3 linked regions of the Callithrix jacchus genome follow. The protein of the gene in region 1 interacts with the protein of each later gene in a pairwise test. Links are inferred from orthologs where the notes say so. Each region holds a gene or a part of one and is shown on either strand. Other genes may lie near its edges.

Region 1 (3,722 bases):
CATTCCAGACTGGGTATGCAAAAGAGCAAAACTCCATCTCAAATTTAAAAAATATAAATCAACAAAACCACAGTAATATAATTTTTTGTTTTGTTTTTTGAAACAGGGTGGGCCAGGTGTGGTGGCTCATGCCTGTAATCCAAGCACTTTGGAGGCCAAGGCGGGCGGATCACCTGAGGTCGGGAGATCAAGACCAGCCTGATCAACATGGTGAAACCCCCTCTTAAGAAAAAAAAAAAGGAAAAGAAACAGGGTCTTGTTCTGTTATGCAGACTGGAGTGCAGTGGCACAATCAGGCTCACTGCAGCCTCCTGGGCTCAAATGATCCTCCCACCTCAGCCTTCTGAGTAGCTGGAACTACAGATGCACGCCACCATCCCCAGCTAATTTGTTTTGAATTTTAGTAGAAATGGGGTCTCACTGTGTTGCCCAGGCTGGTCACAAATTCCTTGCTTCAAGTAATCCTCCCACCTTAACCTCCCAAAGCCCACACACCTTGCAACCACACAGATTGTCAGATTCCTTTTTTTTTTTTTTTTTTTTTTGAGATGGAGTTTCGCTCTTGTTACCCAGACTGGAGTGCAATGGCACGATCTCGGCTCACTGCAACCTCCGCCTCCTGGGTTCAAGCAATTCTCCTGCCTCAGCCTCCCGAGTAGCTGGGACTACAGGCACGCACCACCATGCCCAGCTAATATTTGTATTTTTAGTAGGGACGGGGTTTCACCTTGTTGACCAGGATGGTCTCGATCTCTTGACCTCGTGATCCACCCGCCTCGGCCTCCCAAAGTGCTGGGATTATAGGCGTGAGCCACCACGCCCAGCCATCCAGCTAATTTTTAAACATTTTTTGGTAGAGGTGAGGTCTCACCATGTTGCCCAGAATGGTCTCAAACTCCCGGCCTCAAGGGATCCATCCTTCCTGCCTTGGCCTCCCAAAGTGCCGATTACAGGCATGAGCCATGCACCCAGCCCCTTTTTATTTTTTTGAGACAGGGCCTTGCTCTGTTGCCTAGGCTGGAGTGCGGCGGTGAGAACATAGCTCACTACAGCCTCGAACTCCTGGACTCAAGCACCAGACTGCTTTACATCACATTCCACACACAGCCTTGTGGTTCCAACCCTGCCTCTGCCACTTCCCAGCTGTTTGCCCCAGCCCAACCTGTCTGGCGCTGTCCTGCTTAACAAAAGGACTGGCCTGGCCGCCGGCCACACCCGCCAGCGCTGAAGCACCAGGGCCTCCGAGTGCCCTAGTGTGGCACGTCTCCAGCGTCGCACTCTCGAACTCATTTGTTTTCCTTAACGAGAGAAGGTTCCAGATTGGGGCAGAACCCTCTTCGCCCCGCCCACGGCCCCCTGAACTCTGCGGATGGGGGGGAGGGGTGCATGGGGAGAGGCGGTCCCAAACGGGTCATTTCCATTAATAGAGACCTCAAACACCGCCTGCTAAAAATACCCAACCGGAGGCACATAAAAGCGCGACCCAGCACCGCGGCCCGCACTTCTCCGAGCAGACGTCCCGGGCAGAGCCAGCCAGCATGACCGAGCGCCGCGTCCCCTTCTCGCTCCTGCGGAGCCCCAGCTGGGACCCCTTCCGCGACTGGTACCCGCACAACCGTCTCTTCGACCAGGCATTCGGGATGCCCCGGCTGCCCGAGGAGTGGTCGCAGTGGTTCGGCACCAGCAGCTGGCCGGGCTACGTGCGCCCCCTGCCCCCCGCCGCGGTCGAGGGCCCCGCAGTGGCCGCGCCCGCCTACAGCCGCGCGCTCAGCCGGCAGCTCAGCAGCGGGGTCTCGGAGATCCGGCACACGGCGGACCGCTGGCGCGTGTCCCTGGACGTCAACCACTTCGCCCCCGAGGAGCTGACGGTCAAGACCAAGGATGGCGTGGTGGAGATCACCGGTGAGCACCCCCTGGCCCTGCAGGGGAGGGGAGGAGGCTAGCGGGGAGGGCGGGGCCCGGGGGTGCGGTTGAAACCCCGGGCCTGGGGAGTTAAAAGTTAGCCCAGCACCGGGAAAAACGGGATCCGTCCGTGATTCCCCTGCTCAGGAATCGGGAGTGCAGGTCGCTTCTAAGGTCGCTTTCTGCTCTGTTATCTCAGCGCCTTGGGAGGCGGAGGCCAGGAGTTCAAGACTAGCCTGGGCAATATAGCGAGACCTCCCCCCCTACCAACTACAAGAAAATTAAAAAGCAACCAAAAATGTTTTAAAAGATCATCGGTGAAGAAATGCTTCTTTCCACGGAACTCTCTCCCCACCCGCAGCCCCATCCGCAGATAAGCGGGTCCCCTGGCGTGGTCCCTGTCCCTAGCCGCGCGAGGGGCGTGCGTGCTCCTCCCAGTGCGCCTGCGCGTTGCTCCCTCCGCCCCTCGGCACCCTGCTCCGTTCCTCCCAAAACTCTTACTCGAACTTTCCGGAAGTTTCTGAGAGCCCGGACAGGCCGGCACGCCCCCACCCCCAGTCTCCTCTGTTAATCCCTGCCAGCCTGCAGTCCTGGCTGCCTCCAAGCTGGAGGTGGGGCCTCTGGCCTGGCGGGGCCGAGAGTCGGTCCCCTTTCCCTCATTCTGATTTTCCTGTCCCCCGAAGGCAAGCACGAGGAGCGGCAGGATGAGCACGGATTCATCTCCCGCTGCTTCACCCGGAAATACTCGTGAGTCCTGCCGCCAGGTCGGGGTGGGTGGGTGCCGGGGGCTAGGGAGGAGGGCACAGGGACCCACCCGAAGTGTAATGTAACGTTCACATTCCCTCTCTGCACGTCCAGGCTGCCCCCTGGTGTGGACCCCACCCAGGTCTCCTCCTCCCTGTCCCCTGAGGGCACACTGACCGTTGAGGCCCCCATGCCCAAGCCAGCCACACAGTCCAACGAGATCACCATCCCTGTCACCTTCGAGTCGCGGGCCCAGCTTGGGGGCCCAGAAGCTGCGAAATCTGACCAGTCTGCAGCCAAGTAAAAGCCTTAGCCCGGATGCCCACCCGTGCCGCCGCCACTGGCCATGCCTCCCCCCCCACCTGTGTGTTCTTTTGATACGTTTATTTGTTTTTCTCAAATAAAGTTTGAAGCAACCCACCTGTCACTGGCTCAGACCCTGGTGTTTGTGGAAGGAAGCTTCGGGCACCTGCCATTCCCTGGCTTACACTAGCCACCTTTGCTCAGGGTGTGCTGGGTGCACAGCCCCGTGCTGGGCCATGTGGGTACTCCCGTGTAGGTTGCTAGGCACAGGCTAATTCACATCCATAAAGACAGAGAGGTCCTATTGCCCGGCATTGTGGCTCAGACCTGCAATACCAGCACTTTGGTAAGTTGAGGCAGGAGGATTGCTTGAAGCTGAGAGTTCAAGACCAGCCTGGACAACACAGTGAGACCCTATCTCTTAAAAATAAAAAGCCAGTTGCAGTGGCTCATGCCTGTAATCCCAGCACTTTGGGAGGCTGAGGGGAGCAGGTCATGAGGTCAGGAGTTCGAGACCAGCCTGACCAACATGCTGAAACCCCATCTCTACCAAAAATACAAAAATTAGCCAGGCGTAGTAGCATATGCCTGTAATGTCAGCTACTCAGGAGGCTAAGACAGGAGAATCACTTGAACCTGGGAGGCAGAGGTTGTGGTGAGCCGAGATTGTGCCACTGCACTCCAGCCTGGGTGACAGAGCAAGACTGTCTCAAAAAAAAAAAATAATAAAATAACAGAAATAAAAATTAGCCAGGGGTGTTATTGCACACCTG
Region 2 (2,544 bases), about 150 Mb from region 1:
ACTTCCAGCTTTGCCATTAATCAGCCATATAATAGCAAATCACATTATTTAGTCTAATTTAAAAAAATAAAGATGCCTCAAAAAGATTATTTTGACAATCCCTAGCAGATCAAAGCTCTAAAATCTAAAAACAACGAATTAAGTGACCCTCTAAATCAAATATGACTAATTCTAAAGACAACAAAACAAAACCAAGCATTTCCTGTCAACGTGACTGGTTTAACATGTTTTAAGAAAAATATTTAAAACTTGTCTTTGAGTCTATTAATTGCATGGCAATCATTTAAAATAGTAAAACTCCTTAAATTAAAAAAAAATGCAGTGTGTGGAGGTGGGGAGAAGAGGGATCATTAAATGCAATGCAAGAATACCATGCAGAATTAAAATAAATGATGTAAACTGAGGATAAGGTAGCAAATACTTTTTCTAAGGAAAACTGTTTCAAAGCATGCAGTATGAAATTTCATGATCTATCCCAAACAACATACTGCATAGGCAATGTTATTAAATACACGTTTTCTGTTTCCAAGTACTACAAATAACTCATTATTCCTATACAAAATTAATTAATAAAAATGGTAGTACGTGGTGATTATTTTTTAGTTTATTGTTTAAATACATGACTTGCCAATCACAAAATATCTAGTGTAACCAAATACATAAGAATCCCTGTGTGAATCAAAAAGTGCCACTCTTGCAGCTTTCTGTCACAAGGATGCTGAGAAATGTACTGTAATAGTTTAGGAGTGAGACACAAGATAGTCTCAATTTTAAGTTTGAATCATTAATCCTCTTCAGAACTGGAATCATCCTCTTGGTCAGAGAGTTCAGGAACAGGGAAGCGGAGAATGGCAGCTACTCCAGTCAATTGGCTGAGCTGTTCCCCAGAAACGTGAAGACTAGAGAATATCCTAACGGTGCCTGCGTTCTCTTTCACACTGTCCACCAGCCTCACATACCGGCTCCGTGTGGCTACATCCTGATGCCTGAAGAGCTCATCGCTGATGAGCAATGTGTCAATTGCCATGGCTTCATTGGCCTTCTCTACCTGCTTGAGTCCATAGAAAGCTCGATCTGGTTCATGTTGTAACATTTTATAGAAGTCATCCAAGGCTTTGACTTCCCCAGCAGCTTTAGTATCTGAAAGGCGGCTAGCTACAGTAGGGTCACAAAGGGCCTCTTTCAGGGAGTACTTGTGTCCGGAGGAGGCATGTACCTAAAATCACAATTACAAAAGTTAGGCAAAATAATCTCTTAGAACACCCATTAATCAGCCCACAAAGGCTTAAAGCCAAAAGCACTAACAAGGCTTTATATGTTTAAGGAATTCAGCAAAGTTTACGTAGTCATTTAACATTCTCTTTTTACTTCATTATCTCATGATAATCTCAGCTAAGTAAAAGACTTTCTCTTCTCATTTTTCCTAGTTCTAAAACTTTAGTAGTAGTTTATACAAATCCCTCTGCCCGTTCTTAACTATCCCTGGGTAAGATTGTTTTACCTGAAGAAATTTGGATCGGTTTTCCAAGAGCAGTTTGTTGTCGGTCTTCACAGCTTGTTGAAACATGTAGTCGCAGAACTGCTCCCTCACAAATCCTGGGCTGGCCACCAGGACGCACTTGACAACATCAAAGTGTATGTGACGCTGGATAGCCTGGACCACCTGTTCATAGAACCGCTCCAAGGCCCGGTCATGCTGAGAGCAATTGCCTTTCCTTTTCCTAGGGATGTTCACCTCCACCTTGGCCCGAGTGAGGGTCATGCTGGGAGTGACTAAGCAGATATGGGCGAGGCCTTCCTGCATGACCACAGCTGCCACATCAGCGCTCCAAGCTGGGTCACAGGCCTGCTCGATGCGCTCGAGAACCACGCTGTCCCACTGTTTCTTGGCCAGGGTGAACTGGCGGTTGGGCTCCAGCTCGATGGTGTGGTAAGCTCCCATCTTGACATACTCATTCTCTTGGATGTTGGTCCCCTTAACCCGCAGCTGGCAGGCTTGAGAGTCGAAGTCAATGGCCTCCACACAGAGAGTGAGGGTAGTGCGGACCCGGTTGCTGCCCACGCTGCCCGTGGAGGACTCGGTCTGTACCTTGCGGATAGTGGAGGCGCGCAGGCTGTCACCCACCTGCACGAGGTTGTAAGTGTGCCACATGTCCTCGGGCTCCTCGGGGACCAGGGTCACCTGGCCCGCATTGTCCTTCTCTATGTTCTTCCTCACGAGCTTCATGGCCTAGCAGGGGCTCAGTGACAGAACTAGAGGAGCCAAGGAGGTCCTCACCTCCGCCCAGGGAGAGGGGATGAGAGTGTAGGGCGGGAAGGGGGCGGGGCCCGGTTCCTACGGGTACTTGCCTGGCGGGAAGAAGATACTCTTGCTTCTACTCATACAGCCGAGGAGAGCACTTCCGCTATCCTTTCGTCTCTGGGTTTCCGGGCGGGCTGCGCCTAACAGGCGCGGGAGACACAGCGGCGAACAGCGTCTTCTCCACTGCTCCCGTTGGCAGCATGGAGCAGCGGGCTGATGTAATGAAGGCGCATGCGCAGTCC
Region 3 (3,655 bases), on another chromosome or scaffold:
GTGACTTGTTTTTAGTATTAGATGAGGAATCTGAAATATTTTTCCCTGTCTTTTCTATAGAATACTTCAAACATTGTGCAGAAAACTGAGGCTTCCTCAGGCTTTTGACTTCTGTCACTTAGCACACCTAACTCCAGGCTTTGTTGGTGCTGATCTGATGGCACTGTGCCGAGAGGCAGCAATGTGTGCAGTCAATAGAGTCTTAATGAAGCTACAGGAACAGCAGAAGAAAGATCCGGAAATGGATGATTTGCCATCTAAAGGAGTCCAGGAGGAAAGGCTGGGAACTGAGCCCACTTCTGAAACACAGGTGTTTTCTCTAAAGGCACCTTCAAGTGTCCATTTAATGTTCTTTGTGTTATCTTACGTTGAAGTAAGGGTCAATATAGTTGAGGTTTATTATTTCTTGTTTTATTGGCATTCAATCTATAAGATAATTATCAGTTATACCCACAATGTGTATAATTTCAAAAATGTGAGTTGTTTTATGTTTAGTTTATTCTGAATAAATTTATTTTACAATAATGATTATGAAATTCTGGAATGGTGTTGACAGACTGTGGCCTACCCACCCACCACCTGTTTTTGTAGATTAAAGTTATATTGGAACACAGCCATGTTCATTTGTATACTTGTCTGTTTCTGCTTTCATTTCACGGCAGAATTCACACAGGAGTCTGCAGCAGAGACTGTGGCCCACAAAGTCTACAGTGTTTACAGTCTAGTCCTTTACAGAAAAAGATTGTCAACCCCTGTTTTGGCATTGGCGTTTAATTATATCTCCTGGTTAGCTTTTGGATGGTCTGTTGACACAGCAATATCCAGATCTTAGCTGCAGATAGCTCTGGCGGACAGTCATGTGAATGAGGGGACATTTATCAGTCTAAGATCAATATTAAATTTTTTAGTTTTGTGAGTCATGAAAACTCAATATATATAGCATTTTATAGCTTGCACAGATGGCTTCTGCGTTATATAATTTGATCCCTGTGACCTTATATAAATATCATTACTTTCCCCGTTTTATAATTAATCAAAGGCACTAAGCTTAAGAGAGAGGCTGTAATTTGCCCAAGGCCATACAACCTCTACTTTACAGAGCAGGAGCTTAAACACACATCTTCTGTTCTCAGATAATTTGTTTTTTTCTTTGTCATTTGAAACTGCAATTACTTCCGTAAAATATAGCAAACTCATTTCTTTTATAATATTGCATGGGATATAAAACCATCAGATTTCATTAAAAAATATTGCATATAAATTAATATTTTACAAGTTGAATTAATTGGTTACCTGTTTTTTAGACTTGTCTTTTCATGTTCCCTCACAAAGCAAGAAATCTGCCTCTTAAATTTAAGATTTAATGGTAATAGGAAAGTTGCCTTGCCTCTACATAGTTTATAATCCATCAAGGAACCATATTCATGAATTATACTACCTCTAGCATATCTTTGTTTTAATTTCATCAGAATTCAGCTGATGAATTTCATTGAATATTTATAAATGAAACATGGGAAATATCATGGTTGCTGAAATAAGTATTTGCCAACTGCTTATATTTGCTATGCTTACCCCTAAAAATAGTATCTAGAAATCATTCTTATATATTTAATTATAATTATAATTGGTGTATCTTTACTTGATCAGAGCATATGATCCTTTAGAGTAAAATGAACATGTCTCATGTCAGAGAGAAAATTATTGAAATACGTAGAAGTTCAGGATAGATTGCAGAAATACTGCAGTAATAATTTTTTCAAGTAGAAAATGTAACTTTTCAATAACTGTTGTGGTGGTTTTTTATTTTTTTCCCCCTCAATTGTTCCCTTCAAGGATGAATTACAAAGGCTGCTGGGGTTGCTAAGAGACCAAGATCCCCTCTCAGAGGAGCAGATGCAAGGACTGTGCATTGAACTGAATGATTTCATTGTTGCTCTATCCTCAGTCCAACCCTCTGCCAAAAGGGAAGGCTTTGTCACTGTCCCTAATGTGACATGGGCAGATATTGGTGCCCTGGAAGACATTAGAGAGGAGCTCACCATGGCAATATTGGTAGGTATATCAGCTGCCAAATATTACTGGCATGTCATGGATTAAGGACCAGAGATAAAGCTCCGTGCATGTGTACTAGGTTCTGTGTCTAAACTGACTTGAATATAACACTTTTTTCAAGTGCCCCCCACAATGGTTTTTCTTTTGAGATCCAGTTTATTTGTTCATTTTTTAAATTGATGTATCATAGTTGTAAATATTTTGGGGGTGCATATGGTATTTCGATACATGTATTAAATGGGTAACGATGAAGTCAGAGTAATTGGGATATTTGTCACCTCAAATGTTTATGTTTTCTTTGTGTTGGGAACATTACACTTTTTTCCTTATAGCTATTTTGAAATATACTTTTTTCTTCTAGCTATTTTGAAATATGCTTTTTTCTTTTAACTGTTTTGAAATATTATTTCCCTACTGTGCTATGAAATACCAGAACTTACTGCTCCTACCTAACAACCTAACACCAAACTCGTGTGTGTGTGTTATTATTTTTTTTCTGAGAAGAAGTCTCACACTGTCGCCAGGTTGGAGTGCAGTGTGTGTGTGTGTGTGTGTGTGTGTATTATTTTTTTTTTTGAGAAGTCTCACACTGTCGCCAGGTTGGAGTGCAGTGTGTGTGTGTGTGTGTGTGTGTGTGTGTGTGTATTATTATTTTTTTTTGAGAAGAAGTCTCACACTGTCGCCAGGTTGGAGTGCAGTGGTGCCATCTCGGCTCAGTACAGCCTTCACCTCCTAGGTTCAAGCAATTCCCTGCCTCAGCCTCTCGAGTAACTGGGACTACAGGCACGTGCTACCATGCTCCACTAATTTTTTTTTATATTTTAGTAAAGACGGGGTTTCACCATGATGGCCAGGATGGTCTTGATCTTCTGACCTCATGATCCACCTGCCTTGGCTTCCCAAAGTGCTGGGATTACAGGCGTGAGCCATCGTGCTCAGCCTGTGTTTTTTTAACCCTTTAACCAACTTTTCTTTATCATACTCCTTCCTCCCTGCTTTCCGTTCCCAGCCTCTGGTAACTATCAATCTGCTCTCCATCTCCATGAGGTCCACTTTATTGACTCCCGTTATGAGTAAGAATGTGCAATATTTGCCTTTCTGTGCCTGGTTTATTTCAGTAACATAATGACCTCTAGTTCCATCCATGTTGCCGCAAATGACAGGATTTCATTCATTTTTGTGGCTGAATAATATTTCATTGAGACCTATTTTATGCTGATCCTTTCGGTTGTGCTTTATTTCTATAGCAGTGAGTTTAAACAGCAACAAAAAACTTATGCTTTCAATCAAGACCAAATTGTTTGACAAAGACTTTCTGAACCTGATAATACTCGTATGGGTCAAGGCAGTTTTAATGCACATGAAACTTTGGATTAATTTTTATTTACTTTTTTTTGGGTGGGGGGAGGCAGAGTCTCGCTGTGTCACCGAGGCTGGAGTGCAGTGGCACCATCTTGGCTCACTGCAACCTCTGCCTCCCAGGTTCAAGCGATTCTCCTGCCTCAGCCTCCCAAGTAGCTGGGATTACAGGTGCACACTGCCACGCTCAGCTAATTTTTTGTATTAGTAGAGATGGGGTATCACCATGTTGCCCAGTCTGGTC

The links.
Region 2: the proteins of HSPB1 (region 1) and PELO interact in binary tests that used the Homo sapiens proteins (3 or more experiments, as listed by UniProt). The link is inferred for Callithrix jacchus from reciprocal best matches to the Homo sapiens genes HSPB1 and PELO.
Region 3: the proteins of HSPB1 (region 1) and NVL interact in binary tests that used the Homo sapiens proteins (3 or more experiments, as listed by UniProt). The link is inferred for Callithrix jacchus from reciprocal best matches to the Homo sapiens genes HSPB1 and NVL.

What each region holds. Positions count from the first base shown.
Region 1 is NC_133503.1:11,064,094-11,067,815, forward strand, and holds HSPB1 (heat shock protein beta-1), read left to right. Parts: upstream 1-1,498; 5' UTR 1,499-1,538; coding exon 1,539-1,902; exon of another isoform or gene 1,903-2,343; intron 2,344-2,585; coding exon 2,586-2,649; intron 2,650-2,760; coding exon 2,761-2,950; 3' UTR 2,951-3,070; downstream 3,071-3,722. UniProt on the Homo sapiens protein: Small heat shock protein which functions as a molecular chaperone probably maintaining denatured proteins in a folding-competent state. Plays a role in stress resistance and actin organization.
Region 2 is NC_133503.1:157,029,598-157,032,141, forward strand, and holds the end of PELO (protein pelota homolog), read right to left. Parts: 5' UTR 2,228-2,544; coding exon 1,502-2,227; intron 1,217-1,501; coding exon 785-1,216; 3' UTR 583-784; downstream 1-582. UniProt on the Homo sapiens protein: Component of the Pelota-HBS1L complex, a complex that recognizes stalled ribosomes and triggers the No-Go Decay (NGD) pathway.
Region 3 is NC_133520.1:4,688,992-4,692,646, forward strand, and holds part of NVL (nuclear valosin-containing protein-like), read left to right. Parts: intron 1-60; coding exon 61-310; intron 311-1,833; coding exon 1,834-2,052; intron 2,053-3,655. UniProt on the Homo sapiens protein: Participates in the assembly of the telomerase holoenzyme and effecting of telomerase activity via its interaction with TERT. Involved in both early and late stages of the pre-rRNA processing pathways.